4 linked regions of the Caenorhabditis elegans genome follow. The protein of the gene in region 1 interacts with the protein of each later gene in a pairwise test. Each region holds a gene or a part of one and is shown in the gene's direction. Other genes may lie near its edges.

Region 1 (6,004 bases):
CTTGCTTCTTCTTGTTCGTGTGCACGGCACCGCTCTCAAATTGAGCCATAATCTTTTCCGCCTGTAAAGAATAATTTTATTAATTAAAAATTCAAAAACAAAAAATCACTCACGCTAGCCAAATTATCTTCTTTCAGCTTCATCTTCTGTGCTTTTCCCAGCTTCTCCGTTGGCTGCTTCGGCTTTGGTTTCGCCGCCAGCTTCATTGGACGTTTTTTCAGCTTCATTACTGACAATGAATAATCTTAAATTGTTTAAAAATACAGTTTAATAAATATAGCACATTGACATAAAATAAATACTTAGAGAAAGTTAACTTGTTATGAAATTTTTGAAGCAGAAAACAAAATTTTGTTACAACTTTATACAAAAATATTTAAAAAATCGGGTGGAAAACATAATTTAGGCAAATATGAATTAAGAAACTCGTATATGGGACGTCTTTAAGAAGCGAGATTAACGAATGAAATCATATTGAAAGGATACATATCGAACGATCAATGAGAAGTGAAGAACTCCTTGGCAAATTGTTCAGAAGCAATGGTCACGTTGAAAACTGGATTAATTTCAGCAAGCATGTTAACATCACCACCAAGTATTTTCCCATCGCGAGCGAGAGAGTACTTCTGAGCAACTGATAATCCTGAGAGAACGTAGCATGTATGGTACAGGTCGACGGCTGAAAATTGAAGTCATTTTTAGTTATAAAAACTGGATCTTACGCTTGTCCGGCTTATCCTTGAATCCTCCATGTACTGATTGGCATCCAACAAGAATGTACTCTTCAAGCATTCGCGCCTCGAAAAGACCTTTCTCCAATGATCGGCCTTCTCGTTCCATTTCTCCGTCCAAAAGTGGGAAGATGGCACCTTGCCAGAAGCTGTAGCATCCATCAACAAGTTTATTTGTTCTTCCCTGGAAACCACCCTCAAATCGCATCTGCCGGCGCGTGGCCCAACGAAGGAGACCTTCCATATCAGCAAGACGGAATCTGGAAATCATCAGGATCAATGATCTTATTTCAAATTCTGAACTAACTTAATTGATATGATTTTATAAGAAAGAACATGTGGTGTTCACGTGATGGTCTGTCTCTTCTCATTTTCAAAGATAACAATAACTGACCTGTTTAACAGAACCAACGAGGCGACCGCGCAGAAAGTGTATCCTCCGTGTGCCTCTGTATACGGTTCTCCTCCGAAACCACCTTCAAAGCTCTGGCAGCTGATAATCCATTCGGCCACACCATTTGATATCTCATCCATAGGTAGGCCCACAATCTCGCATGTTGCTAGTGCACAGTAGGCGCTTCTCATATCGATCTGGAAATGTTCAATTTTCGATAGCTCAGAATTTTTATGATATCTCTGGCAAAAAAAACAACACTAGAGGCAATTCGTAGAGTGTGCAGCAAGGATCCTAAAGTTCTATGCAAGAGTACGTAGAAGTTTCACTCTGAGTAGGACTTCATCAAGTCTATGCAGGAGTTTCAGTACATTTAGAGCTTTTGAACCATTGCCAGAGATATTCATTAATAAATTATTACCTCTCCTCCCTCGTGCATATAAAATCCTCCGCTCTCATGCTTGCACTTCTTCAAAAAATTGAACAGTGTGACTCTGTTGATAGATCGTAGAGCTTCTTCTTTTTGTAGAGACACTAGGCACATGACAGCGGCATACGTTGGAGCCAAATGAGCCAATTGTCCTGGTCCTCCACCATAGCCACCTTCTGGATGTTCACAAGATTTAAGAAAAACAATAATGTTTTCGATAACATCGTTTGGAATTTCTGCGTCCAAAATTTTAAGTGCATTAACTCCCCAGTAGCACATCCATGAACGACTAGCGTCTAAGGTCTAAAAATTGTAATGTTAAAAACCACTTCTCACAAATCAAACTTACTGCGTAGCTCGACGGGCAGTTTTTGAGATATCTGAGCAAATACGAGGCATGTTTCTGACGGAAAATCGTCAATTCGGCGAGATCTTCGTCGCTTGTGGTCTTGAATGGTTCTAACACCAGTGAATTGTAGTTTTCGAAAAGCATTGTTTCAATACGTTTCTGAAATACTCATAATCGTACATGATAATTACATGGCGGGGTTACAAACCTGTTCAGTGCTTGAGTAGGTGAAATTATCATCGTCGTTACACTCATATTTCTCGTTGAACGAACGGAATGGGATCGAAGATGTCATCTCTGTTATAAAATACAATTTTTACAAAAAGAACACATTAGAAAACACACTTCTCTTGGGAAAACCTATCAAAAACATTTTTTTTCGTCGCGAAAATAAAAAAAAATCGGTGTGATAAACAAGGCGCGCGTGTTTAAAACGGAGTGTCGTTGTCCCCGTCTAATTTTTTCTTTTCTCATTTTTCTGAACACTCTTTTCTGATCAGGAATTCTGACGTTTTATCAGTCTGTGATAAAGTTTTTAATCAGTTATTGCAACAAAAACTCTACGAAAATCAGGCGAGTATGCAGAAAGATGATAAAGTTTTCTTGTAAATTAGCTTTTCATTCCATTTAAAATTTAATAACTTTACAATTTTATATTCTTTATTGTTGTTTGCAAATGTGTATTAAATATCTTATTTCTACGTTTTCTTACAAGTATAATTTTGTTTAAACTGAAAAATATTCAGGTAATGTCGAAGTTCCCGGTGCCGTTGAGAACGATTGGTGGGCTTCGTCCCTCGACAACAGCAGCTATTTCTGCCGCCAACATCGGTTTCACACAATCGAGTCGGGCCCTCAGCACCGGAGCTGCCGCCAAAAGCTCAGGACTTGTTGGACAAGTAGCTCGCCAATATCCAAATGCTGCAGCTTTCAGTATTAAACAAGTTCGCCTTTATAGCAGTGGTGAGACTTTTTTCCTATTTATATTTTCCAACTGGTTGTCCACTAATTCCTTTTTTCAGGAAATCTGCCAAAGCACAATCGGGTAGCTCTCCCAGCACTTTCTCCAACTATGGAACTCGGAACTGTTGTAAGCTGGCAGAAAAAAGAAGGAGATCAACTTAGTGAAGGAGATTTGCTCTGCGAGATTGAAACCGATAAGGCCACTATGGGATTCGAAACTCCGGAAGAAGGATATCTTGCCAAGATTCTCATCCAGGAAGGATCGAAGGATGTTCCAATTGGCAAGCTTCTCTGTATTATCGTCGACAACGAGGCTGACGTTGCTGCCTTCAAGGATTTCAAGGACGATGGTGCTTCATCTGGTGGATCCGCTCCAGCAGCCGAGAAAGCTCCAGAGCCAGCAAAACCAGCCGCTTCATCGCAACCATCTCCCCCAGCACAAATGTATCAAGCACCATCAGTTCCAAAGTCCGCACCAATTCCACACTCATCATCGGGAAGAGTTTCTGCTTCACCGTTCGCTAAGAAACTTGCTGCTGAAAATGGCCTTGACTTGAGCGGAGTTTCTGGAAGTGGACCAGGAGGACGTATTCTCGCTTCGGATCTTTCCCAGGCTCCAGCAAAGGGCGCTACTTCAACCACAACTCAAGCCGTATCTGGTCAAGATTATACCGATATTCCACTTTCGAACATGCGTAAGACAATTGCTAAGAGACTCACCGAAAGCAAATCAACGATTCCACATTATTATTTGACCAGCGAAATTCAATTGGATACACTTCTTCAGTGAGTTTTCTTAAATTATTAAAACAATAAACCCGAGTCTTCCTTTCCAAAAATTACCCTTATTCAGGGTTCGTGAAAAGCTCAACGGTCTTCTTGCAAAGGGAACATCGGGACAAGCCACTAAGATCTCAATCAATGACTTTATCATCAAAGCTTCTGCTCTTGCATGTCAACGAGTTCCAGAAGCCAACAGCTATTGGATGGACTCGTTCATTCGTGAGAATCATCACGTCGATGTTTCTGTAGCTGTCAGCACCCCAGCCGGTCTTATTACTCCAATTATCTTCAATGCTCACGCTAAGGGACTCGCCACGATTGCCTCAGAAATTGTAGAATTGGCGCAAAGAGCACGCGAAGGAAAATTGCAGCCTCATGAGTTCCAAGGAGGTACTTTCACCGTCTCGAACCTCGGAATGTTCGGATCTGTATCTGATTTCACCGCGATCATCAACCCACCACAATCATGCATTTTGGCTATCGGAGGAGCATCTGATAAGCTGGTCCCAGACGAGGCTGAAGGGTAAGAGTTTTTAGGAAATTTATCGAGTTATATAGTTTTTGTATTTCAGATATAAGAAGATTAAGACTATGAAGGTAACATTGTCATGCGATCACAGGACTGTTGATGGAGCTGTTGGAGCCGTCTGGCTTCGTCACTTCAAGGAGTTCCTCGAGAAGCCACACACGATGCTTCTCTAAACGATGGCTTTTTCATTGTTTCCCAATTCATCTCACCATCTTCCTCTACCCATTTTGACCCCCGAATTTACTCCGTAAAGTCTCGAAGTGATAGCGTATAACTAGGTCATAATTTTATTATTTCTTTCTTTCTTCACTACAGCCATTTTCGCTTTTATTTTTCTCATTTTTCATGGCATGTTTCCCAGTTAATCGTTTAATTTCTCCGGTAGTATGTGTAAGTGAATTATTAGAAGAAGTTTCCTTTAAAAAATGATTTATTATTTTTGTCTGTCATACAGAAATTTCAGAAACTCGTAGTGTGTTTGGAAAAGCCTAGCGGATCTTTAGTAATAGTGAGCAAAATGTTGAGAGACCCTAGGAAACAATATGCTTCAAGAAACGAATTCAATGACGACGACACAGTCCGCATGTTCTTGCGCAGAACGCCGTTAAGTATTGCTGATGGGATGGTGAAGCACAGAACTGACGCCACTGACTGCATCTTCCTTGAGGATCACGATCAGCGCATTCTGAAGATTCAAAAAGATTCGACAATATCCTAGATCTAGAAACATACGTCCGCCACCGAAAGCCGGCTGTGGCTGCTGGAATACATTTTGCCGCTGAGCAGCAAAACTGTTACTCTGTCCACGTCTTCTTGAAATGAACACATTTTGACGATTAAATGGAGATTGTGGCTGTTGAGCAACAATTCGCTGTCGTGGACGCTGTAAAATTGCAATTATAATATAGATCAGAGAGTAAAAGAAAATATAAAATACCGCAGGAATTGGTCGGAATGTTTGTTGGAACGTTGGTCTGGAAAAAATCAATATTACCGACATTACAATATGTGAAAAACGAACTGTTGTGTGAATGTAGCTTGTGTTGTCGGTGCAGCAGTCACTTGAGCATCTCCAGAAGATCCACGTTGGAAGCCATCTGAACAAGGCAACTAGGACTAGAACACAGGAAAATGAACGCGCTACCACGGAAACCGAAAAACTCAGACATCACTCAACATGCTAAATCAATCAAAAACTGAGCTTTCAAAATATGTTCCAAGAATTCAAAAAACACATTCATTCAACTCAATAATAATATCGTAGCTTCGAAATTTTCTGAAACGCGTTCTCAAAGGGACACAGATTTGTTCCGATGGGTCTTACCACGAATACAAATACAACAGAAATTGAAAAAAAAAATACTGAGATAAATACTGAAACATTATACCTTGCCGTAAAGATAATGCACCAGCGGGTCTCGAAACTATCAAACCTTCGCAGCTACAGTAACCCAAGAATTTAGTTTTTTTTTGTTGCAAAATTTGGCGAGTTTTTCATGATTTTTCAAGAAATTTATAGTTTTAACATTTATAAAATTAATTGAAAATTTAAATACAGAAGGGAGAAAATAGTAAAACGCTTGCGGGTACGGTGGCTACGAAGTTTCGATCGTGTCGAGAGAGGCCCCACGAAAAGGGGAGCAGAACGAAAAGGGGATCTGCAAAAAGGGGATCTGCGAAAAGGGGAGATACGAAAAGGGGAGATACGAAAAGGGGAGCAACGAAAAGGGGATCTGGCACTGTGCCAAACGCTATTTTTCTCGAAGAAAACGATACAACGATGCTCCGATGTTACGCGTCGCGTGTTGTTAAGCGTATCTTCTAG
Region 2 (8,515 bases), 4.5 Mb from region 1:
CAGCACACAGTTTTCAGACTCGTTGTCTAACAAATTCCAATATTTTCGAATCGCTGACACCCTCCCAGCCGGGCGGTGTAGGCAACTGAAAATTCGCCATTGCAGCGGATATCTGTGCCAATTTGTCACCATCAAGCGGTATTGTCATCGATTTTTCCTCGGAAATTTCCAGTTTTTCCACATCATTTTTTCTCACAAAATCATCCGGAGATATCACGAAATTGCACCATAATCCAGAGCTCGTGGTGACGTCATCAAAGTTATCGGTGGTGATGACGTCATCCTCATCTTCTGACGTGGTGGCACATGGAACATTTCCATCACCAATGATTTGATAACCTTGTGGAAATTCATCGTCGGTTTCAGAGCATTTTGTGGTGGTGGTGGCTACTCCGAAGCGCTGTGTTGTGCTGAAAATTTTAATTTTGGGAATTTTTAACCGAAAAATGCAGAATTTCCGCATAATTTTGAGCTAAAATTTGGAAATTTCGGTCTAAAATCTTATTTATCAAGCATTTTAGTGTAAATTTCATTCTTTTTTTTCGCACTTCTTAAGCTGAAAACCCCGGATTTTTGTCGGAAAACGGAATTTTTGGAGCAAAATGTCCCGATTGCTAGTGTTTTTTCTGAAATTTATCGATTTTTCGTATATTTTTGAGCTCAAATTTCAATGAGAAAATGTCTTTTTAAGATCTTTTTATGGGATTTCATAGATTTCAGTGCGAAAATTGCAATTTTTGAGGAGAAAATTGGAGATTTTCAGTTTTCGGCGATACTTTTCAGAAAAAAAAACTGATTTTTCCCTTGAGCAGCGCCCAAAAGTTGTAGTTTGTAGTTTAGCAGCGCCCAAAATTGAATTAGCAGCGCCCAAAACTTGTAGTTTGTAGTGTTAGCAGCGCCCAAAACTTGTAGTTTGTAGTTTAGCAGCGCCCAAAACTTGTAGTTTGTAGTCTAAGCAGCGCCCAAAATTGAATTAGCAGCGCCCAAAACTTGTAGTTTGTAGTCTAAGCAGCGCCCAAAATTGAATTAGCAGCGCCCAAAACTTGTAGTTTGTAGTCTAAGCAGCGCCCAAAATTGAATTAGCAGCGCCCAAAAGTTGTAGTTTGTAGTGTTAGCAGCGCCCAAAACTTGTAGTTTGTAGTCTAAGCAGCGCCCAAAATTGAATTAGCAGCGCCCAAAACTTGTAGTTTGTAGTCTAAGCAGCGCCCAAAAGTTGTAGTTTGTAGTTTAGCAGCGCCCAAAATTTGTAGTTTGTAGTGTTAGCAGCGCCCAAAACTTGTAATTTGTAGTCTAAGCAGCGCCCAAAACTTGTAGTTTGTAGTCTAAGCAGCGCCCAAAATTGAATTAGCAGCGCCCAAAAGTTGTAGTTTGTAGTTTAGCAGCGCCCAAAATTGAATTAGCAGCGCCCAAAAGTTGTAGTTTGTAGTGTTAGCAGCGCCCAAAACTTGTAGTTTGTAGTTTAGCAGCGCGTAAAATTGAATTAGCAGCGCCCAAAAGTTGTAGTTTGTAGTTTAGCAGCGCCCAAAATTGAATTAGCAGCGCCCAAAAGTTGTAGTTTGTAGTGTTAGCAGCGCCCAAAACTTGTAGTTTGTAGTTTAGCAGCGCGTAAAATTGAATTAGCAGCGCCCAAAAGTTGTAGTTTGTAGTTTAGCAGCGCCCAAAACTTGTAGTTTGTAGTCTAAGCAGCGCCCAAAATTGAATTAGCAGCGCCCAAAACTTGTAGTTTGTAGTCTAAGCAGCGCCCAAAATTTGTAGTTTGTAGTGTTAGCAGCGCCCAAAACTTGTAGTTTGTAGTCTAAGCAGCGCCCAAAACTTGTAGTTTGTATTCTAAGCAGCGCCCAAAATTGAATTAGCAGCGCCCAAAACTTGTAGTTTGTAGTTTAGCAGCGCCCAAAATCACATTTTCGCTCAAAATTAACCAAAATTGCCGGTTTTTTCGCATTTTTCGACGGAATTTTCTGTTTAATTCGTTAAAATTTGGGAATTTTTATGATTTTTCAGCGGAAATCGCTTGAGCAGCGCCCAAAACTTGTAGTTTGTAGTTTCCACGTGGGGCTCAATTCCTCGAAACTTACACAAATTCGCCAGTTTTGAAGCTTTTCGTGTCATTTTTATCGTGAAATTCGACATTTGTGGGTTTCAGCGCCTTATCAACATAAAATTCACTGTCCAATCCATACAAAAGCTGTCCTTTATCACTAATATCATCACTTTCTCGCCGTTCCAGCAGCTCTTGCGGTGCTTCATCATCATCATCATCAGTCGGTGGATCCGAATCGAATCCGCTGCTTTCCCCGCCGCCGGCTTCTCGATTTTCAGCCGGCGGTAGATCACCGGATTCACTGCTCGCCGAGCTGTCTGGAGCCCCCCCGGCGGCCGAAATTCCGACGCCATTGTACTCGACGCCATATCCAACGTACCAGCCGTCTTCTAAATTCGAATTATCAATCGAAAAAGTGTCGATTTGAAGGATTTCGCAGGGTTTTGTGGATTTTTGAGCATTTTCGTGCTGTTCCATCGTTAATCCTTGCTTCCCGAGCGCATTTTTCAGCGTTTTCAGCTCTCTTTTTGTGAGATTTCGGGCTTTTTCAGGAATCTGCGGGATTTCGGACGATTGGGGCATCAGAACCTGGAAAAAATAATTGTTATGCTGTTAAAATCGAATTTTGGGGCAAAAAAAACCTTAAAAATACGATTTTCCGGCTGAATTTCATTATTTTTCGCAAAAATTTCAGATTTAGCTCGAAAATCGGTTGAATCTTGCCGATATTTGATAGTTTTCACCCGTAAAAACCCCGAAATCCATGAAAAACCACTTTAAAACTGAAAAACAAATTATACAACTAGGAAATGGATATTTTTCAGCGTTTTAGGTGTATGAATAGGAGATTTTAACGCTTTTTTAATTAATTTTTGCTTTAAAAAACTGATTTTTACCCAAAAAATCTGTGAAAATTGAGTTTTTCAGCTGAAACATCGTTTCAAAACGAAAAAATAAATTTGCCGGCACGAGAATCGCGCCAGTCAACCCCCTTTGCGCATCTCCAGTGCGCTGGCGCATTTCTCGTGCACCAACTATTTTATTTGCTTTTCCGCGAAAAAATCAATTTCCATGACAGAAAACGACAAAAAATCGCAATATTTTTCGAATGGAGACTTTGAAAAAGTCGCTGCCGATATTATTAGTAGTCCGAGACGTCTGAAGCACACGAGTCCAGGTGATTATTTTGAAAAATAAAGAATTTCAGCTCGAAATCGGCAAATTTGATGCAAAAACGTGGAAATTAAGCTGAAAAACGGTGAAAAATCCAGAAAAATTAGGAAAAAGTGCAAAATTATCCTCAAAAATGAGTAGTTTTAATGAAAATATAACCTTTTTCGATTTTTCTCAAATTTTTTCGCATTTTTGAAGAGATTTCCGCTATAAAACAGATGAAACTAATTTAAAAAAACCACTTTTGAAGGTTTTTGAGTGAATTTTTTGGGCGCTGCTTAGACTACAAACTACACAATTTTAGGCGCTGCTAATTCAATTTTGGGCGCTGCTAAACTACAAACTACAAGATATTGGTCGCTGCTAAACTACAAACTACACAATTTTGGGCGCTGCTAAACTACAAACTACAAGATTTTGGGCGCTGCTAAACTACAAACTACACAATTTTGGGCGCTGCTAAAGCTACAAACTACACAATTTTGGGCGCTGCTAAACTACAAACTACAAGATATTGGTCGCTGCTAAACTACAAACTACACAATTTTGGGCGCTGCTAAACTACAAACTACACAATTTTGGGCGCTGCTAAACTACAAACTACACAATTTTGGGCGCTGCTAAACTACAAACTACACAATTTTGGGCGCTGCTAAACTACAAACTACAAGTTTGGGCGCTGCTAATTCAATTTTGGGCGCTGCTAAACTACAAACTACAAGATTTTGGGCGCTGCTAAAGCTACAAACTACACAATTTTGGGCGCTGCTAAAGCTACAAACTACACAATTTTGGACGCTGCTTTTCCGTTTAGCGGCGCCAAAATCGATTTTTTCTATTTTTAAGCACATTTTCTCAGGGAAAATTGCAAAAATCGAAATTATTTCGGTTTTAAAGCTAAAAAACTCGAAAAAATCCAAATTTCCCCAATTTTCAGCCGATTCCAACGCGGATTCTCTCTTCAAAATCACTGAAAAACAGCAGGAATACTACACAAAATGCTTCCGTCACTTAATAAAAACCACTCAAGGCGCCGCAGACCTCTGCGGAGCCCTTTGCGGAGCCGATCAACGAATTGTAGCGTTTTTCAAGAGAAGCTCGCTGGATATGAGCTCTTTATCGAAAATCTGGTCGCTGGCCGATGTGAATGAAGACGGATGGTTGGATTTAAACGAATTCTCGATTGCGATGCATTTAGTAGTGTTGAAAGTGAAAGGAGAAGTTCCGATTCCTGATGTGCTACCCGGTTTCGCGCGGCCACCACTTACAGAGCCACGGGCTCCGTCTACAGTTGCGGCGACGCCTAGTCCCGCCGGTGCAGGACATGTAGAAGCTGATGGGCCAGTGAAAAATGTGGGGGTTTTTGAAATAATTTAATTGACTTTTGAATATGTATCATCATTCAAAACATTAACGACGTTTTTTTTTTAATTTCGAATTTTTCCAATTCCAGTGGGCAAACCAGCCAATCATCAAACAATTCTCGGATACACCGCCATTATTAGTGGACAGTAGGCCAACAGCTATCAAGCATTCTGCATTGTTAGCACTTAAGAGTCCACTGGGTAAGTTTGGATTCATTGAAGAAATTGTTGTAGTGTTTATTATACTTCTCAAATGTGTGAACACAATATAAAAAGTTTAAATTATTGACTAATAATAATTTATTCGAAAAATTGCTAGTTGAATAGCAGTCATACTACAAAAACTACAATAGTTTTCGATTCAAATGTTTTAGAAAACCTAGTTTTCTAATCAGTAACATAGTTATTTATATACTGACTAAGTAACTAATTATTTAATTAATAACTATTTAAGTACGTTTTTAATTCGTGACTTAGTTAGTAATTAAAATACTTACTGAGTTGCTAATTATATAACTTGGTAAGTAGTTAATTAGAAACTTAGTTATGAAATTACTAACTCAATACGAATTTAATTACTAACTTAGTGAGTATTTAATTAGTAACATAGTTATTTAATTTATAACTCAGGAAGTATTTAATTAGTGACTTAGTTAGTAATTAAATAACTAAGTAAGTATTTAATTACTAACCCTGTTAGTGTTAATTAGTAACAAAGTGAGTATTTAATCAGTAACGTAGTTATTTAATTTGTAACTAAGGAAGTATTAAATTGCTACTAAGTGAGTATTTAATTACTAACTAAGTGGGTATTTAATTAGTAACAGAGTGAGTTTTTAACTACTAATTTTCTTATTTAATCATCATCTAAATAAGTACTTAATTAGTAACTTAGTAATTAAATTACTAACTACGTAAGTATGTAGTTAGTAACTTAGTTATTTAATTACCTAAATAAGTATTAATAAGTATTAAGTATTAAGTAAGTTCATTAAAACACGCAACACTCAATATTTAGTAGTATTTGCAATCTAAGAGCAGCGCCCGAAATCAATAATCCATATTTTCAGGACCCCCACCAATTCCACCTGTCCGCCCACAACAACAACAACGTGGACACAACAGAAGTGCAAGTCTTGACTTGAAATTGATTGCATTGAATAAGACAAAAGCCTCGGCGGAATCCCAGCTACCACCAACTACCCTATCACTTTGGTCATCACATTCCGATCCGACAGCTCAATCGATTAGTACTACAACGACTACGACTACTTTTGCGTCTTTTCCTGGTATGAGACTGAAAAATTGGGCAGAAATTCGAAAAAAATTTTAAAAAAACTGGAATTTTTCAAAAAATATATTGCTTTCAATTTTCGAGAAAAAATCAAAATATTCCCAATTTCCGCAAATTTTCAGCCACCCCGGACAGTATTCCACCGCCGATTCCACAAAGAATCACACCGTCACCTCTACCGGTAAGTTAAGGGAAAGCTTTTAGTTGTAGTTTGTAGTCTTAGCAGCGCCCAAAGTTTGAAATTATTCGTTTTAACGAATTTTTAAGAAAAACTTTTCAAAATTGCGATAAAATCGAAAATTAGTGTAGTTTTTATTTTCTGAACAGGTTGAAAATCACAAAAATATGATTTTTAAACAATTTTTGGCTATTTTTTTGTGCGCTGCTATTTTTTTGGGCGCTGCTAATTTTTGGGCGCTGCTATTTTTTTGGGCGCTGCTAATTTCTTGGGCGCTGCTAATTTCTTGGGCGCTGCTAATTTCTTGGGCGGGCTGCTAAAAATTTACTTGTAGTTTGTAGTTTTAGCAGCGCCAAAATTCAAAAATACTCATTTTTAACCATTTTTCTTCAAATTTTTCAAATTTTTCACTGAAAAATCTCCAAAAATTCACAATATTTTTGCAGAGAGTCATCGAAGAGGAAAAACGAATTACCACAACAGATTCATCAACACAAACTACAGAATTACTCTATTCTGAGGAAGATGTGAAGAGCTTTTTCTCGAAAATCGGCCATCAAATCGACGATTTAATTGGAGAAGAGATTCAGGCAACTGATGGGCAAGGAATTGAACGATGGAAGGAACGTTGTACAGCTTTGAGGACTCAAAATTCGGAATTAGAAGCCGAAAGAGCACGGTTGGCTCAAGTACGGATTCAATTGGAAATACGAATTCAGGAATTTGAAGAGAGATCCAAAACTGCGTGCTCTTCTTCTACACTTTAATGATATCCCCGGTGGAGGAAAAATGGATGGGAAATTCGAATTTTTGAGGAAAAATAGGAAAAAAATAATTTTTTTCGGCTTGAAAAACTAGGAAATAACACATTTTATTTCGAATTTTCCGGAAAAAATTTTTTTTTTGGAAAAAACTCAATTTTTAGCTGGAAAAATAGAATTTTTAAAGATTTATTACGTTTGGTTAGGAAAATAACAAAAAAATTCGAAATGTATCAATTTCTATGGAAAATTATTTTTTCTGAAAATTTATTGATTTTTCTGAAAATTTATTGATTTTTCTGAAAATTTATCGATTTTTCTGAAAATTTATTGATTTTTCTGAAAATTTATCGATTTTTCTGAAAATTTATCGATTTCTATGGAAAATTTATTGATTTTTCTGGTTTTTCGCATTAAAAAACATGAAATTTGCCCATTTTAGAGCAAATTTTCAAAAATTTCTGAGAAAAAGGTATTTCCCGAAATTAAATTTAACTTCTAAAAAAGTTTTTAATTATTTTCTATCAAAAATTCGAATTTCCCACCAATTTCTCCCCCAGATTCCCCGCAAAAAACTAAAAAATCTGCATATTTCTTCATAATTTCTGTGATATGTCATATATATATTTCATTTTTACCTATGTTGTAATTTTTTAAAATAAGCATCAATTTTTCTATTTTCTGTGATAATTTAATCTATTACACTATCTTCTTTTTTTTTTTTGAAAAAAAAAATCATAAAGTATGTATTGATTTTTACACACATTAAAAATAACTATTTTTTAAAATTGGAAAATATATATATATAAATTTTTCCAAAAAAAAATGAAATAACATGAAAGATGGGAACTATCTAAAAAATTCGGACAAAAAAATTATTACAGATCCGGCTAAAAATTTGGAAAAAATTCCAAATTTTGACAGAATTTGAGGGATCTATTATAAAAACTGCTAGAATAACAAAAAAAAAACAAAAAATTTTCGAGAAAAAAAATTATTACACATTCGTGACGAATGTATAATAATCTTAGCAGAACTAAAAAAAAACAGTAAATTATTGTTGAATTCCGAGTAATTTCTTCATCTGACGACCGTATTCCCGCGTTTTTTCGACAGTTTCCTCGCTATTTCTATAGGCTTTCCACATTTCTCCGAATTCGTCAATCGATTTTTGATCTCCACATCCGGCGGCGCTGGGGCTTAATCCAGGCGTCAACTTGGCTTTTTCCAGTAAATCGATGAGTTTGGTTTTGGTGTTGGAGCCATCGAATTCAACTTTCAGAGCGTCGGTGCGGTTCTGGAAAAAAACATTGGAAATTTGGCTGAAAAATCGATAAATTTCCGGAAAAATCAATAAATTTCCAGAAAAATCAATAAATTTTTACAAAAAGCACTGAATTTTCAATAAAAATCAATAAATTTCCAGAAAAATCGATAAATTTTTACAAAAATCACTGAATTTTCAATAAAAATCAATAAATTTCCAGAAAAATCAATAAATTTCCAGAAAAATCGATAAATTTTTAGAAAAATCAATAAATTTCCAGAAAAATCAATAAATTTTTACAAAAAGCACTGAATTTTCAATAAAAATCAATAAATTTCCAGAAAAATCGATAAATTTTTAGAAAAATCAATAAATTTCCAGAAAAATCAATAAATAAATTCTTACAAAAATCACTGAATTTTCAATAAAAATCAATA
Region 3 (8,767 bases), on another chromosome or scaffold:
CGGGACTTTTTTGCAATTTTTGGGGTATAAAAATCGGGAATTTTTCAAAATTTTAGGTCAAAAATTCTCGAATTTTTTCAATTTTCAGATTAAAAAGTGCGGTAATTTTTCAGCTTTTCCATCCAATCGCTACCTTCATCAACGCATGCATAGTTTCCTGCGCTAAATTCATTTCCTTCACACTTTCCGCTGTCAATTCCTCCTTCGACATATCATCAAACCATCTTAAACACAAGAGGAAAAGCTTATTCAGACGCTTCTTATTTCCTTCTTTAAGGCTCGGATGATGACATTTCACGAGTCGTTCCAGCACTAAATCCATCGATTCCGAGTGTTTTTCCAGAAGAGCACAGAATTTTTTATAGTTTTTCGGCATTTCGAATACGAATGGCAGAGTTTCAGCGGGTTCTGGAGCAGATTTTTTCGCTTTTTTGACGACTTTTTGGGCTTCCTGAGCTTCCTCATCATCGGAATCTTCTTCCAGCTCATCCTCATCTTCCAGTAGATCATCCAGATCCTCTTCCTCATCTTCTAGATCCTCGTCATCGTCAGATTCATCAGAACCATCCAGATTTTTCTTTAAAATCCTGGATTTTTCCACCGTATCCTCATCGATCAGGCCACCTTCATCGTCAAATTTGACCTCAAATCTCGAATTTTTCGCCTGAACTTTTCTGGCGTCGGCCTTCGATCCAGCATCGATATCAACGTCGGCATCGGCTGATAAATGAGATTTTGCGTTGAAAAATGCATTATTTTTCGAGATACGGGCGGCCTCGAGAGTTTCCAGACGTTCTTTTTCTTTCAGAGCTTCTTCTTCTTCGGATAGCTTACGATCTGCTGGGGTGGCACGAGCGTCGGCTTCGGTTTTCAAGGTGATTGTCTGGAAAAATAATAATTTTTGGATAAAAAATGGAATAAAACCTATTTTTCTTGATTTTTTAGGCGAAGAAACAAAAAAAAAGCCTTTTTCTATCATTTTTTAAACAAAAAAATTGGCTTTTTCTTAATTTTTTTGTCGAAAAATAGTTATTTTAAATTGTTTTATTTTGTAAAAAAACGACTTTTTTAAAGTTATTTTTCGGCGAAAAATTTATTTTTTTAAATTAAAAATTGCCTTTTTCGTCATTTTTGTCAAAAGAAAAACCGACTTTTCTCGAATTTTTGTCAAAAAAATTGACTTTTTAATGATTTTTCGTCAAAAAAATTCTCAGTTCAGCTCAATTTCTTTCGCGATAAGAAGTTAAATGTTTTATTTTTCACTTCAAATTGCACAAATTCCGAAATAATTTTACAGTGTTTTCTCTGATTACAAAGCTAAAACTTGGATTTCTTCAACTTTTACAGCAAAATTAATGAAAATTTCCAATTTCCATAGCAAAAATGGTTAAAAATTAGCATTTTCAGATCAAGTTTTTTGGGTTTTAGGTTTTCCACTAAAAAATTGTGAAAAAAATCGATTTTCACTCTAAATTTATAATTATCTTTTATCTTAAAAATTTGGAGAAAACCGGGATGTTTCCCGTACCAATTTGTCGTAATCATCTTTTTCCAGCGGCTGGCGCCCGGTCGGCCTAAATGAAGCCTTCATTTTGCCCATCAAAGCCTGATACTTGGAATCCAACGACTCTGTCATCAGCTCGAGCTCATCCTTCTGCTGTTGCTTCTCGTGACGCGCCAGCTTCGTTTTCGCAATCAAATTCGAAATCATATCCTCTCGGCTGATTTTTTCGCGGACGTGCTCCTCGGCGGTCTTCTCTCCACCACCGAAATGAGCCACTTTTACCATATTTGAGCCCAAATTTCCCGGCTCTTCATCGTCATCCGAGTCGGAAATCATCGATTTGTCGTATTTTTCAATGTCCGAGAGCGCTTTTCCCTTGTGAGTAAGTACTGAAATTTACTTTATTAAAATTTTTCTCAATTTATTTCGGAATAAACCTTCTTCCTCCTCATCTCCATCATCTGTCAAGTTGAATTTCGATGCTCTTTTATAATTTTTGACTCTTTCCTCTGTGAATCTCATCGCGCCCTTCTCCTCCTCGCTTTTTCCGTCCTTTTCGCCGAGCCGTTTGTCGACAATTTTGCTAATCTTATTTTTCCGGTCATATTCTACGCCTAGCGTCTGTTCACGTTGCTCGTGAGCTCGTTTTCGTGACGCAGTCGGTGCTCCAACTTGTGCGCCCTTTTTCCGGCCGAGAATCTGCGAGAAAATCGATTTTTTCTTCAAAACTCTGAAAAACTCACGTCATGCTTGGATTTGTTGAATTTTAGCTCGAATGGATTGGTTTTTCGTTGCTTTTGCTTTTTATCAACACCCATGTTTGCTGAAAATGCGAAAAATTAGGGGGGAAACAGAGAAAAAACCAGGGGTATCCAGGAAAATTTAAGAATAAAAATTGGGAAGTTTGCGCGTCAAGTCGTGCGCATTGTACGCAACGACGCCTTTATTTTGCAAAGTTTTGAAAATTGAAATGTTTTAATTTATTTTTTTATGCACGTTTTGCTGAAAAAGTGGAAAATTTGAAGAAAATCAAGGGAAAACTAGGAAAAATCAGTAAAAATCAGTGAAAACAGAGAACATAATGAAAAAAATTTGCGCGTCGGGTCGGGTGCGCTGTACGCAAACACTTCACACTTTTGAAATTTTTTTTTTATTTTTGCGAATTTTTGCGAGTTTATTCCCCGCGGGCCTGCGAAAAATTGCGTAAAACTTTAATATTTTGACCGGAAATTTTAGATTTCAAGTTTTAAGCTAAACTATCTTTGTCCTTTCACCTAATTCTTCCCTATTTCACCCCCAAAACAGCTATTTTTCCCTATTTTCAGATGGAGCAAATCGGAGCAGCTCTCCAGCAGACTCTGGAGCCGGATGCTGCGATTCGCAAGCGTGGAGAAGAAGCGCTCCGCTCGCTGCAATCAAATCCAGGCTATATCATTCAAATTCTTCAACTGGTGGTCAACGAACAGCAACAAATTGCTCCGCAGATCCGAATCGCCGCGGCTGTCGCTTTGAAAAATTTTGTGAAGAGAAATTGGGTTGGAAAATTTGAATAAATGCGTGAATTTTATATTTAAATTGTTTCAGGGCCCGGCACCAGAGGTAGAAATGGGCCAGGAAGACGAGGAGCAGTTCAGAAGCATGCTTCTCGAAGCGATGTTCAATACAAAATCAAATGTTCAGGAAATCCTGTCCAATGCTCTGTATCTCATCGCTCAGAGAGATTTTCCCGAAAAATGGCCAGATTTGGTTCCATATTTGTCGAAATTCCTGAACGGAGCGGATCTCAATCACCTGGTGGCCTCGCTGGCGTCGATGGAGCAGATTTTCCGCAAATTCCGATTCGAATCCAAGTCAGCAGAGCTTTGGAAAGAGCTGAAGAAGTGTCTACTGAGCGTGAGTTGCGTTTTGGCTCAAAATTTGGCTAATTTCAGCTAAAATCCCCAATTTTGGCCACTTTTTTACGTCGCAGCCGTCGGAAGTTGAATTTTTGTCCGCTTTGACCCTAAAAAATGACCAAAATTAGACATTTAAGCTAGCTAAAGCTGGCCTTGTTTTCCGAAAAATCGTGAAAAATTCAACATTTTATGATTTTTTAGTCAAAAATTTTAACTAAAGCAAAAATGAGGAATTTTTGGCGAAAATTGATAATTTTCCTATAAAAATGGACAAATTTTCAAAATTTTTGAGCCAAAAAATTGAAGAAATCTGAATGTCAGTCTCGAATTTGGACCGAAAAACTGTTTTCTCCCCAGATTTTTCAGTTACAAATAAAAAGAACCGATTTTTCAGACCCAAGAGCCTCTAACTCTGTTGCTACGGAACATGATGGAGGTGGGACAGCGGAAGGATCAACTCGGAGCCGACGAGATCGCCCAATGGCTCCGAGTCTTACTTCTCATTGCAAAAGTCTACCATTCTCTGTGCTCACAGGAGATTCCGGAATACTTCGAGGATCATCTCAAGGACTGGATGCCACACTTCTTGCATCTCGTGCAAATCGACGCGCCGACGCAGACCTCCAACTCGGGAGAACCTACAACTCTGGACGAGCTTAAGCACGAGATCTGTGAGATCTTCACGCTCTACTCGCAACGCTACGAGGAGGAGATCTCCGAGTTCGTGCCCGACATCATCCTTGCCGTCTGGAATCTGCTCAAGTCTACCGGCCCCGACACTCGATACGATACGATGGTGTGCGCCGCGCTGGAATTTCTGTCGATGGTCAGCCAGCGACAGTACTACGAGGGACACTTCACTGGTGAAGGCGTTCTGAAGACTCTCGCCGAGAACGTGTGCGTTCAGAACCTTCTGCTTCGTCAACAGGATATGGAACTGTTCGAGGATGAGCCACTGGATTATATGAAGCGAGACATCGAGGGTACCGATGTAGGAACTCGACGCCGTGGAGCCATCGATCTTGCGCGAGGTCTCTGCCGAAGATTCGAGGCGCAAATGCTTCCATGTCTGGGGGAGATCGTGCAGAACCTGCTGGGAAGTGGTGATTGGATCAAGATCGACATTGTCTACTCGCTGATCACGGCGATCGCGGTGAAGACGGAGACTGCTAAGAGTGGAGTAACGGCGACGAACCCGCTGGTGGACATCAACGACTTCTTCATCACACAAGTGGCCACACATCTCAACGCCGATGTCAATCAAACTCCGATCCTTAAAGCTGATGCACTGAAGTTTGCGGTCACTTTCAGGAAACAGCTGGCTCCAGAGCACCTTATGACTGCGATCAAGTCGGCGGACGCTCTTCTCAGCTCGAATACTCCGATTCTGCACAAGTACGCAGCTTACGCTATTGAAAAGATCCTTCTCGCTGATTCCAACAAAATCTTCTCGGCTCAAAATCTTCCAGTCTCCTCGATCCTTCAGAACCTTGTCACCGCGTTCGACAAGGATGCCAAAGCGCAAAACTCGCCGTATCTGATCAAGGCGATTTTGAGGATCATTGTGATTCTCGATGACGACACGATTCGGCATGCGGACGCGATTGCGGTCAAGCTCGCACAGTTGGTCGAGTCGGCGACGAAAAATCCGGCGGATTCGGTGCACACGCACTTTTTGTTTGAGACGATTTGTGTGTTGATCACCAAGGTAAGGAGTAGTTTGAGAGAAAAATACCACTCTAAACTCCGCCCATTTTTCCGTGCCGCACTTTGGTCTCAAATTTTTTTTCATAAATTGGAACATAACTTGTCAAATTTTCTGAAATTTTTCTGCAAAAAAAAATTCGCTGAAACTCGGAAATTGGAATAGACATCGATAATTTAACTTTCGATCTGAAAATTTTCGGAAAAATTGGCAATTTTGCTGGAAAACGCAAAAATTTACAAAAAACCAACACTTTTCCGTTTTCGTGTTTTCAAAAAATATACCTTTTTTTAATTTTTCGGAAAATCGAAAAAATTCAATTTTTCTGATAAGAAACCTAAAAACTGAAAAATTTTAGTTTTTAATTATTTTTGTCGAAACAAACCCCGAAAAATTGAACGATTTTCACTGAAAAAAAAATCAAAACTTTTTGTTTTTCAATTTTTCGATGTTTTTTTCCGAAAAAATCGAAAAGAATCTTCTTTTTTTAAAGAAGAAATCGATAATTTTTTTCTGAAAAAAAAAAATTAAAAATTGCAAAATCGAAACATTTGTCTGCTTTTTCGTGTTTTCCTTTTTGTGATTTTTTTTCTTATTCAAAAAAAAAGTGATAGCAATTTTAAGAACATTTTATATTTTTTAACGAATTTCCTGTTCCAGACCCGAACAATCGGCGCCTCACTGGATGCTCAACTCCTTCCACTGATCGAAGTGATCTTCCGCGAGGATTTGGAAGATCTCATCCCATATGCTCTCCAAATCACGGGAGTTCTCGTCTCCTCATGTATCGCTAGAAACTCATCGATCGATCAATTCTCACCGTTCCTTCCGTTTCTGCTATCCGAACGTCTTTGGGCGAGATCAGCGAATGTTCCAGCGGCACTTTCGGTTCTCGAAGTGATCCTTTCCGTGAATGCTCAGCGAGTCGTCTCGGAGAATTCTGGGTTGATCTTGAGCCATTTGGCGCGGCTTTTGGGCTCGAAAACCTTGGATCAATACGGTTTCCAGTTGGCGGCGACGATTCTTCCGTCGATTGAGCACTTCGAGGGTTCCGCGATGACATTTGTGCTCAATACAATGTTTCGAAGAGTTCAATCGTCGAAGACACCCAAGTTTATGAAGCTATTCATCGTGTTCTTGTGTCGATTTACGATCGCCCGGAGTGCACAGGATCTTGTTCAATCGTGTGAGAATATTCAGACTGGCATGTTCGGAATGCTCATCGAGAAGGTCGTATGCATTGATTTGCCAGGTCTGAAACAAACGACAACGGGGCCTGAGAAACGGATTATTGCCATTGGAATGGGCAATTTGCTAGCCGATGTCACGCAGCAGCTTGTGTTAGTAATGAAAATTTAGGCTTTTTTCCAGAAAAAATATCGAAAAACGAAAATTTTCGATTTTTTATATTTTTTTCAAAGGAAATTGAAAATCACATATTTTCGATTCAGTTTTTTTTTCTCCGATTTTTTTTTTAAACTTTAATACGGGTTTAAAAAAAATAGAAAGTTACAATTTTTAAATATTTCAGAAAAAAAAACGAAAATTTTCTATTTTTTAAAGATTTTTTTGGAAAAAATTGAAAAATTGCAAATTTTCGGTTTTTTTCCAGAGAAAAGTTAAAAATCACATATCAAAAAAAAATTTGAAAAACACAAATTTAAAAAAATAAAATTGAAATTTTGTCGATTTCTTCGTTTTTTTTCCTGACAAAATCTGGAATTTTCAGTTTTTTGAAAAATCGACAATTACCGACTTTTCCCTATTTTTTCAAAAAAACAAAATCGAAAACTGCCGATTTTTCAACAAAAAAATTAAATCAAAAATGAAGATTTTAATTTTTTTTTCGGTTTTTTCTCAAAAAAAAAACAATTAACGACAATTAACAAAAACAAAATTACAAATAAAATCATTTTAAATTCAATTTCTCATATAAATTTTTTTTGCAGTGGTCAATACGGAATTCTGTCATACGAGGTGGCAATGCTGCTGGAAGCTGCTTCAGCCTCCGATCGAGCCGTCCTATCACCAGAAGAAGAGCAAGCTTCAATGTACAACGCCGAGGGAGAATTTGTGAACCCATTCTGTCGTCTGAGTTACGCTCCCAAGCAACCGCCCGTCGCCGCCAACATCGCCAACCACAAGGCCTACTTTGCGCAGGCCGTTCTTGTCCGTGGACCCGGAAATTGTCCAGAGACACTTCGTTCTGTACCGCCCGAGATTGTCACCTATTTGCAGTCTATTCAGCAATAATTTCCCCGATATTTATATTTTTTCAATTGTTTATTATCTTTTTTTTTCTCTGCTGCTGCCCGATTACTCGCTCTTTCTCTCTAAAAAAAATCCCCCGTTGTTAACTTTTTTGTCTTAAATTTCAAATTTCTCACTTTCCATCTCTGATTAGTTTACGGTTGTCGAAGCCCCGCTTCTTCTTCTTCTTATCTCACATCTGCCCCAGTTTTTTCCTCTTCAAATTGCCTTATTTAATTGTTTTTCACGACATTTTTGCTGTCAAATACACAGAAATTCACCTCGATTTTGAGTGTAAGATGTGGTGCCTGAAGGAGTGACGCGCAAAATATCTCGTAGCGAAAACTACAGTAATTCTTTAAATGAATACTGTAGCGATTGTATGTCGATTTACGGAAATAATTTATAATTTAGTAATCGATGACGCACACAAAAAACAAAAAAAATAATTTTAAAAATCGAACCCGTAAATCGACACCAGCGCTACAGTAGTCATTTAAAGGGTTACTGTAGTTTTCGCTACGAGATATTTCGCGTTCTCAGAATTCAAATAGTGTTTCCGTAATATCATGGCTCCTTTCCACGGGGAGGCAAAGCTAACGTGGCCGCGAGAGTGCGCCGGCTAGCCACCGCCTCCTATGGTTAAGAATTTTGATCGAATAAACATTTTTAATTTGACTTATATGCTTATTTTTCTTCGTTTTTTCTTATTTTTTCTTGTTTTTTCTTGTTACTACGTGGAATAAGCATAATGTTTTCAGCTAATCTACGCAAACCGCTTCGAAATTCGATGGATTAAACCGGACAAAGGCAAAAAACGTCGAAAAGTAAGTTATTATTCAAAATATCTCGAAAAATTATGGTACAATATTTCTGAAAATCTACTCAAATATGGAAAAATATATGCTGATTCCGAATTAAAAAGTCTTGAACCTCAATCTCGCGTATTTCATATTTATTTTCTCGATTTTAGTGAAAAATTCGAGAAATTCAGTGCAATTTCGAATTAAAAATTACATTTTTCCAAAAATTATGGTACAATATTTCTGAAAACCTACTCAAATATGGAGAAATATATGCTGATTCTGAATAAAAAAGTCTCGAAACTCAATCTCACGTATTTCATTTTTTTTTTTCGATTTTAATAAAAAATTTAGGAATTCAGTGCAATTTTCGATTTTTTTTCAAAATATTTTCTCTTAATGTTTTTATAATTTCCAGATATTACGTTGTCGCTGCATTGGAAGATTTCAAGACAAAATTCGAAATAGATGCGAACAAGAAGAAGCTGTTCGAAGTATTAATAAGGAAGGTTAAGCAGCAATAAGTGCTCTTACAAGGGCTCAAGTGCCGCAGAAGAAGCCAAAGAAGGTAGGACTGCAAGGTCGACTGCTCAATCAGCCACTATTTAAG
Region 4 (6,621 bases), on another chromosome or scaffold:
AATTTTCTGGTGCCAATATAAAAACTCAATGAGCTTGTAAGAGTTCAAAATTTCCTGAAAAATTTACTAGTATGGTTCCGAATGATTGGTTAGATTTTTTCACAATCTTCGTGCTTCCTGGCCGTTTTTTTAAGAAGTGAGGGAAATTTTGATGACTCAGTTTTGTAACTTTTAGAGGAAATTGTTCATTTTTTTGCTTTGATGCTCAAATCTAAAATAATCCGAAAATTATTAAAAACAAAAAATGAGAACTCAGGAGCTATTAAAAGTTATTTGCACATTTTTTTATGAACTTTGTGAATGTGTAAAAGTTTCGATATTTTTTTTTTGGAATTGAAAAATAATCGGAGAATCACAATTTGCAAACTTTAATATATTTTTTAATAATATGTTTTCCACTATAGACTCTGTGAAACATTAGAGAATTTTTAGTGAAAATAATGATCAGTTTCAATAAGTTCTTAATCTCATTGAGATGAATTTTATTGATCTTTTAGAATACTGTGGAAATGTAGCTTATAATAAGTCTAGTTCAATAAGAATGAAGCCTTATTATAAGCTACATTTTCGTGTAGAAATTTTAAAAATGTTTAATATTCATATTTGAATTTGTTAAAATATGTGTTTCAAATTAAATATCCGTAATTTGGAGGGTTTTCAATGACGTTTTTCGACATTTTTGCCGGTTAACTCCAGCCATTTTGTTTTTTGTGCGAAGTAAGGAAAACTTTCATTTCGATTCAATAGAATTAAATTCCGACAATGTTATTTTTTTGTTTCAGTCAATTTGATTCGGTTTTTGTCAAAGTGTTACAATTTGCAGTTTTTATTTTGTTTTTTTTCAATTAGGCATATGCTTTGTCCAGTATAACTCCTGTGAAACATTTGTGAATTTGTAGAAAAAATAATGTCCCGTTTCAATAAGTTTTCAAAGGTATCTCTTCGAGATGAATTTTATTATTCCGCTAGGAATCAGTGGATATGTAGCCCATAATAATTCTGTCAACTTTAATTCCAATTCAGTTATTGTCAAAATATTAATTGCAGACAATTTTGTTATGCTTTCGGTTTAATACTATTTTGGTTCTTAAATCGAACAACTTTGGTTTTCCAACTTCATATAACAATTTAGAGATTTTTTTTTCTGAAAACTAAGAAAAAGTTACACATTTCCTATTTTCAAGTTATTTTTTCAGTTATTTTCACTAACTAGTTAACTGATCACAAAAAACTTTGTGGAAAATATTCAAAACCTTAGTGACAATAATGTTCTGTTTCACGAAGTCCTTAAAAGTATCTTGTAACGGTGAACTTTAGTTCAAAGTTTCTCTGTTTGCGGCAATATATAAATTTCAAGAAATTTTACTATGTTTCTAGCTCAACACATTTTCAGAGTCTATAAAAAATGAAAACATTTTATTAATTTTTTTCCTGTTTCAGTGAGTTTTTAAAAAAAATTACCTTCTGTAGTTTCTAATCGGTTCCATGCTGCAATTTTAACCTCAACTTTGGAAAACTGGTATTAGTGTAGATTTACAAAGTTCTCGTTTTTTTTAAATTTTGGTTTAAAAAACGGGAGTTTTCCTGGAATTTACAAGGAAAATTGCAGAATCTGAATTCATTGAGATTTTTTTTACACTTACGCCGAAAATGTATAAACTCTGTGAAAAGGTTGCGAATTTTTAGTGAAAATATTGTTCTGTTTCAACAAGTTTTTAAAAGCATCTCGCAAAAAATTAATGTAGTTAATGAGCGTTAAATATGTATATCGTATTCCCTTTATCAATTTGTATTCCTGCGACAAATTTCCGTCAAAGAGAAATTTGTCTAGTTGGTAGTTTGTAGGATATAGTTTGTAACTGAAAATTTTAATTGCAGTTCAGTCTTTTGCCAAATATAAATTTAGTTATGTTTCTGGTTTAATACAATCTCAGAATCTCAGTGAAAAATAGTTCATCAATTTGTTTTTTCTCTGTTTCAGCAAGGAGTTTTAAATCCAGGCATTTCTTCTGTAGTTGATAATTTTTTTGAAGATTTACGAAATTTTCGTTTTCATTAGTGGTCGCTTTTTAGACATGCAGACATTTTGAGGATTCATGCACGGCCTACAATATATTTTCTCAAGCTTCCCAAGGCCTCTCTTGTCGTCTTAAATTCTGCCACTAACCCCATTTTGAATCAAATGCACATTGAGCTCATCTTCCATGCATCTCCTCCCTTCTCCTCTCATTCTCCATTTTCAGTGTGCATGATTGTCTGCGTCTCCCGCTTCTCTACACTCTCTCGTAGTCTCTACATCTCTCCGTCTCTGTGCTCTTTTTGCTCGTGAAGCTTTTAGTACTGCTAGAAGGAGTGAAGGAGTGACAATCGATTTTAAAGCAGAAAAATTAATTATGGATGTAAGTATTTTTTTTCAATTGTTTGTGTAGTTTGAAATTGAGCTAAAAAAACTGGAATGTTTCATGTTTTTATTAAAAAAGAACAATAAAAATCATAACTATTATAGTTACCATCAGAGGTGGGCGGATATTTTTTTCTGATATTTTCTAATAATGAATTTATCAATAAGTATTGATGTAGTTATTCTGGAAGAAATGTATCCGAACAAAAGAGTAACTATTAAGAAACATTTTAATATGATAAAACCTAGAAAAATTCTACAAGTTTTCTGTATAAACGATATGCAAGTCCATTATCCGATATCCGTAATATCCGTAATATCCGATATCCGATGTTGCTCGGCTAATAAGTTTTAAGGTCTCGGTAAGGAAAACTTGTAGAATTTTTCTAGGTTTTATCATATTAAAATGTTGCTTAATAGTTACTCTTTGGTTTGGATACATTTCTTCCAGAATAACTACATCAATACTTATTGATAAATTCATTATTAGAAAATATCCGAAAAAATATCCGCCCACCTCTGGTTACCATAATCGTGAAAAAACTTACTGTTTCACTTTCTAACAAATAATTTGTAGGTTTTCAAATTAATTATTGTTTTTTAACCATATTTTACAGTTCCAAATCGAAGAAGACCGGCTCGGAATGAGAATTCAATCGGAGACAATTGAGTTGACTAAAGATGAAAAAGGTGTCGTCGGAATTTCAATTGGTTTGTTCATTTTTTTCTCTGATGCTTGTATATAAATGGAAACCAACTCAAAATAATTTTTTAATAATAACTCGATAATGTTTAAGTGAATAGTTTGGTTTTTGAAACACTTCATTTAAAAACTACTAGAAACAGAAAAAAATGAAAAAAAAATGTTTTTCAAACAATTTGAAATATTACGCTAGTAGTGGTAGAGTGTACAATTTACCATTCCTTGGTTTTTTTTTACCGTCTGACCAAGAATAGTGTGTGAAACGAGAGATTTAGAGAAAGACGAGAGAGTGAGAGATTTGGTTATAGTAAGAAAGAATCGATTTTTAAATAGTGTGCGTTTTTGAGAGATTTAGAGAAAGAGACTGGTAAGACATTTTTGATGTTCTTGGTTCATTCAACCAGGGGACGGGTTCGAACCCAGGACACTATTCGTCTAAAACAGATGCCATACCAATACACTATAGACGTAGTCGCAAACCCAGTAGCATTTGACTCTTTTCTATTTCGAAACATCTGCCGTTTAGGAGACGTCTTTTTCCCAAACGCGATTTGAATGAATGCAAGCGTTACCGAGATTGATGAAGGAAGGAGGCCCCCCTCCCCGCGCCCCTGGGGGTTTCAAGAGTAAAAGTTGATGAACAAGTTTTTTCAATTTACCTGTGCTTTTGAAAAATGATGCATTCAAAGCTATTTGAAGTTTTTCGATAAAGGGTTCTCCACCCGTTATCGAAAACTTTAAAGAGCATTCCCTACAAAAAACATGTTTTACATTTTTTATTATTTATTCAATTACAGATAAGGATAAGTATTAGTGTTACATGCATTACTAACAATTCAAACATTATTATACAATCAATCAAATTTTATAATTTCCAATATTCTTTCGGCATTTCTTACAAACGTCAATTTTCAAAGTTGACCCATCATATTGTGCACCGTCCTGACAATCTGAACAAAACAGGATAGCGGCAAGTGGTTCCATTTTTCGTAAAGCAAACTGGGGTTCCGTTGTCTTGGCAGCCGTGTGTGTCGTTTTAAAAGTTTTCACATTTTTCTTTCCCTTCTTCTCCGACATAGGAATATCAGAAACATTTGATGGCAAAAACTCTGGTTCCTGAGACGAGTTTTGAAGAGTTTCAAAATTCCAAAAGACGTTCGCAGGTGAAGGATCAGGATAAGAAAAGTTTGAGAATGAGGACATTATCAAAAAAAGTCACTACGTACAACAAAAAATTGAGCACAAATGAAGATTGAATTCAGAAAAGTGGGCGGCTCTTGAAATTGGCATGGACAAATCATAAAGTTAATACTCCTGATGCATCAATCCAAGAGTCAAATTCGGCACCATATCCGTCCCAACGAACGAGGTGCTGTTTCTTTCCGCGTACTGTACGAGTGGCTAAAATCTTTTCAATTCGATACTGAGCGTCTGGTTTATATGTGCATTTAGTCAGTTCTCGAGTGTAGAATATTCCGGCAATTTTTTCTCCATTAGTGTCTACTATATTGTAGGTAACTGGTTTCCTTGCAAACACTTTGGAAATTACATAAACTTCTGTAGTCCATCCTTGTTCGTAGCCCTTGTCAAATTGTCCTCGTTTTGCAGCGATTCTGACGTGATCTCCTACTCTGAATTTGATTTTAACGCTGTCTACAGGCATCGGAGTTGAAAAATCTCCCCGCTCAACGTCTACTGGTTTTTTACCAATTCCACGATTAACGCTATTGTTGATACCATTCACAACTTGTTGTAAAACGTCCACATAACGTCGGTTGTACTTTTGAGTCATGTACTTTGCCAATCGAGTTTTCAGAGTCCTGTTTGCCCTCTCCACAATTGCACACTTTATTTCGCTTTTGGGTGAAAATAGATTCACAAAATTCTTGGCCAACAACTCTTTGACATGCGAGTTGTAAAATTCCTTTCCATCATCACTGTAAATTGTCATTGGTGTGACACCAATTTCTTTAAAAATGTCTTGTAGAGCTAGAGCCACTTCTTGTCCTTTTTTAGACTTTAACGTTTTTACAAAAAGCCGTCGAGAGTAAATATCTATACAGACTAGTAGAAAGGTTACTCCGTCGTTTTCCTTCTTGTACCGGGACATATCTGCGAGATCAATTTGAAGAGATGCATAAAGACCAGGTGAGACTGTTTTCCGACGCGGGAATCGCGATTGATTCGGGCGGTGAAGCGTAAAAGATTCCAAATCTTCGAGAACCTTTTCGACTTGTTCATACTTTAACGACTTGTATTTTGGCTTCAAATATTTGTAAACGTTTTTTACAGATGAATAGGCGCAAGGTAGTTTTTCGTCTGTATATGCTTCTTTTATGGCAGACTTCATAATAAAAATTTTAAAAATACAACATTTATATACAGATTTTAAAATTTCCATAATCTACAATAAACTCGTGAACCTGGAGGTGGAGCTGAACCAGATCCGTGAAGAACGCGCCTTTTGGCAGCAGGGATATTTGTACCATTATCTGGGATGGTTGAAGAAATGTTGCGTTTCAAGTTTTGCATCTTATAAATTTTGTTTGGCCTCACTCTACTCATATTCTTTCTTCTTTTCAAATCAAATTTCTGCCTCTTGTTTAAGTTTTTTGTGGAATCCTGTTGAAATGGTCTTTTTTTAATGGAAATCTCAGTGTTTTGTGGCGTCTCATCAACCATCGGCTCTTCATCTTCATCTTCCTCATCCAGCTGCAATTTATAAAGTTTTCGCGGTTTCACGTTATTCATGCTCTTTCCTCTCTTGAGATCAAACTTTTGCCTCTTGTTTGAAGTGGCGTATTGCTGAAACGATCGTTTTTTAATTGAAACTGGTGTAATTTCCACAGTTTTTTCCTCAGGTTTCCTCGGTGGAGCGGCTTGCATATCTTGATCGGGTTCTTCAATCTTCACTTTCACCACACTCTTCTTTTCCTTTTTACCCAAAGGTCTACTGAGAGTTCCGTCTTTCTTTTGTTTCTTGGACTTTTTTATTTTTCCGGGTGCATGTTTTTGGGGTTCCATAAAAAGTTCATTTACATTTTGCTCCATATTTATTTCTGGAATTTTTTCGTATTCCATATGATAATCCTCATCCTCGGGCTCTTCTTTGATGTAAACGTTTTTGCGGGGCTTTAAATGATTTATTCCATCATTGTGGTACGTCACGTCATCAAACAATTGTTCATTTTCCGCTTTATAAACAGGAGGACTTTCATAATATTTTTCTTGATATGATTCTCTCTTTTCAGGAATGACTTCATATTTTAAATTACGTCTCTCTAGCTTCACATTTCTTTTTTGATTGTCATTCTGTTGTTGTAAATTTTCTTGAATAACATCAAATAATTCTTCAGTGACAATTGGTAGTTCAGGGTGGTTACGAATTCGATATAGTACATCTTGATAAAAACGGCATTTTGTAGTTGGATCAACATCTGATGCGGATAGGATATTTTCTAAAAAACGTTTGGCAGATTCATATTCAGACCCATTCTCGTAGGGTATCATGTGATAT

What was found.
Region 2: the proteins of dlat-1 (region 1) and reps-1 interact in a two-hybrid assay, tested with the Caenorhabditis elegans proteins (one large-scale study listed by BioGRID).
Region 3: the proteins of dlat-1 (region 1) and xpo-2 interact in a two-hybrid assay, tested with the Caenorhabditis elegans proteins (one large-scale study listed by BioGRID).
Region 4: the proteins of dlat-1 (region 1) and Y57G11C.22 interact in a two-hybrid assay, tested with the Caenorhabditis elegans proteins (one large-scale study listed by BioGRID).

Annotation. Positions count from the first base shown.
Region 1 is NC_003283.11:14,443,937-14,449,940, reverse strand, and holds dlat-1 (Dihydrolipoyllysine-residue acetyltransferase component of pyruvate dehydrogenase complex, mitochondrial), read left to right. Parts: upstream 1-2,650; 5' UTR 2,651-2,653; coding exon 2,654-2,867; intron 2,868-2,926; coding exon 2,927-3,653; intron 3,654-3,720; coding exon 3,721-4,173; intron 4,174-4,222; coding exon 4,223-4,352; 3' UTR 4,353-4,618; downstream 4,619-6,004. Other genes in the region: F23B12.7 (uncharacterized protein), read right to left, coding at 1-61, 114-227; fntb-1 (Protein farnesyltransferase subunit beta), read right to left, coding at 498-679, 723-991, 1,126-1,322, 1,547-1,858, 1,905-2,063, 2,113-2,199; F23B12.4 (ShKT domain-containing protein), read right to left, coding at 4,740-4,864, 4,912-5,062, 5,117-5,153, 5,201-5,276. UniProt on the Caenorhabditis elegans protein: The pyruvate dehydrogenase complex catalyzes the overall conversion of pyruvate to acetyl-CoA and CO(2).
Region 2 is NC_003283.11:18,984,966-18,993,480, reverse strand, and holds reps-1 (REPS (RalBP1-associated Eps domain-containing protein) homolog), read left to right. Parts: upstream 1-2,980; 5' UTR 2,981-3,112; coding exon 3,113-3,218; intron 3,219-4,151; coding exon 4,152-4,567; intron 4,568-4,667; coding exon 4,668-4,779; intron 4,780-5,648; coding exon 5,649-5,867; intron 5,868-5,994; coding exon 5,995-6,053; intron 6,054-6,496; coding exon 6,497-6,817; 3' UTR 6,818-7,507; downstream 7,508-8,515. Other genes in the region: Y39B6A.37 (Structural protein), read right to left, coding at 14-410, 2,076-2,623; mrps-35 (Small ribosomal subunit protein mS35 mitochondrial conserved domain-containing protein), read right to left, coding at 7,866-8,108.
Region 3 is NC_003279.8:317,415-326,181, reverse strand, and holds xpo-2 (Exportin-2), read left to right. Parts: upstream 1-2,829; coding exon 2,830-3,039; intron 3,040-3,088; coding exon 3,089-3,397; intron 3,398-3,793; coding exon 3,794-5,107; intron 5,108-5,764; coding exon 5,765-6,444; intron 6,445-7,053; coding exon 7,054-7,357; 3' UTR 7,358-7,633; downstream 7,634-8,767. Other genes in the region: nol-14 (Nucleolar protein 14), read right to left, coding at 134-883, 1,529-1,893, 1,942-2,203, 2,248-2,322.
Region 4 is NC_003282.8:14,834,818-14,841,438, forward strand, and holds the start of Y57G11C.22 (PRKCA-binding protein), read left to right. Parts: upstream 1-2,393; coding exon 2,394-2,399; intron 2,400-2,500; exon of another isoform or gene 2,501-2,522; intron 2,523-2,995; exon of another isoform or gene 2,996-3,016; intron 3,017-3,018; coding exon 3,019-3,112; intron 3,113-3,180; exon of another isoform or gene 3,181-3,202; intron 3,203-5,492; coding exon of another isoform or gene 5,493-5,909; intron 5,910-6,023; coding exon of another isoform or gene 6,024-6,562; intron 6,563-6,621.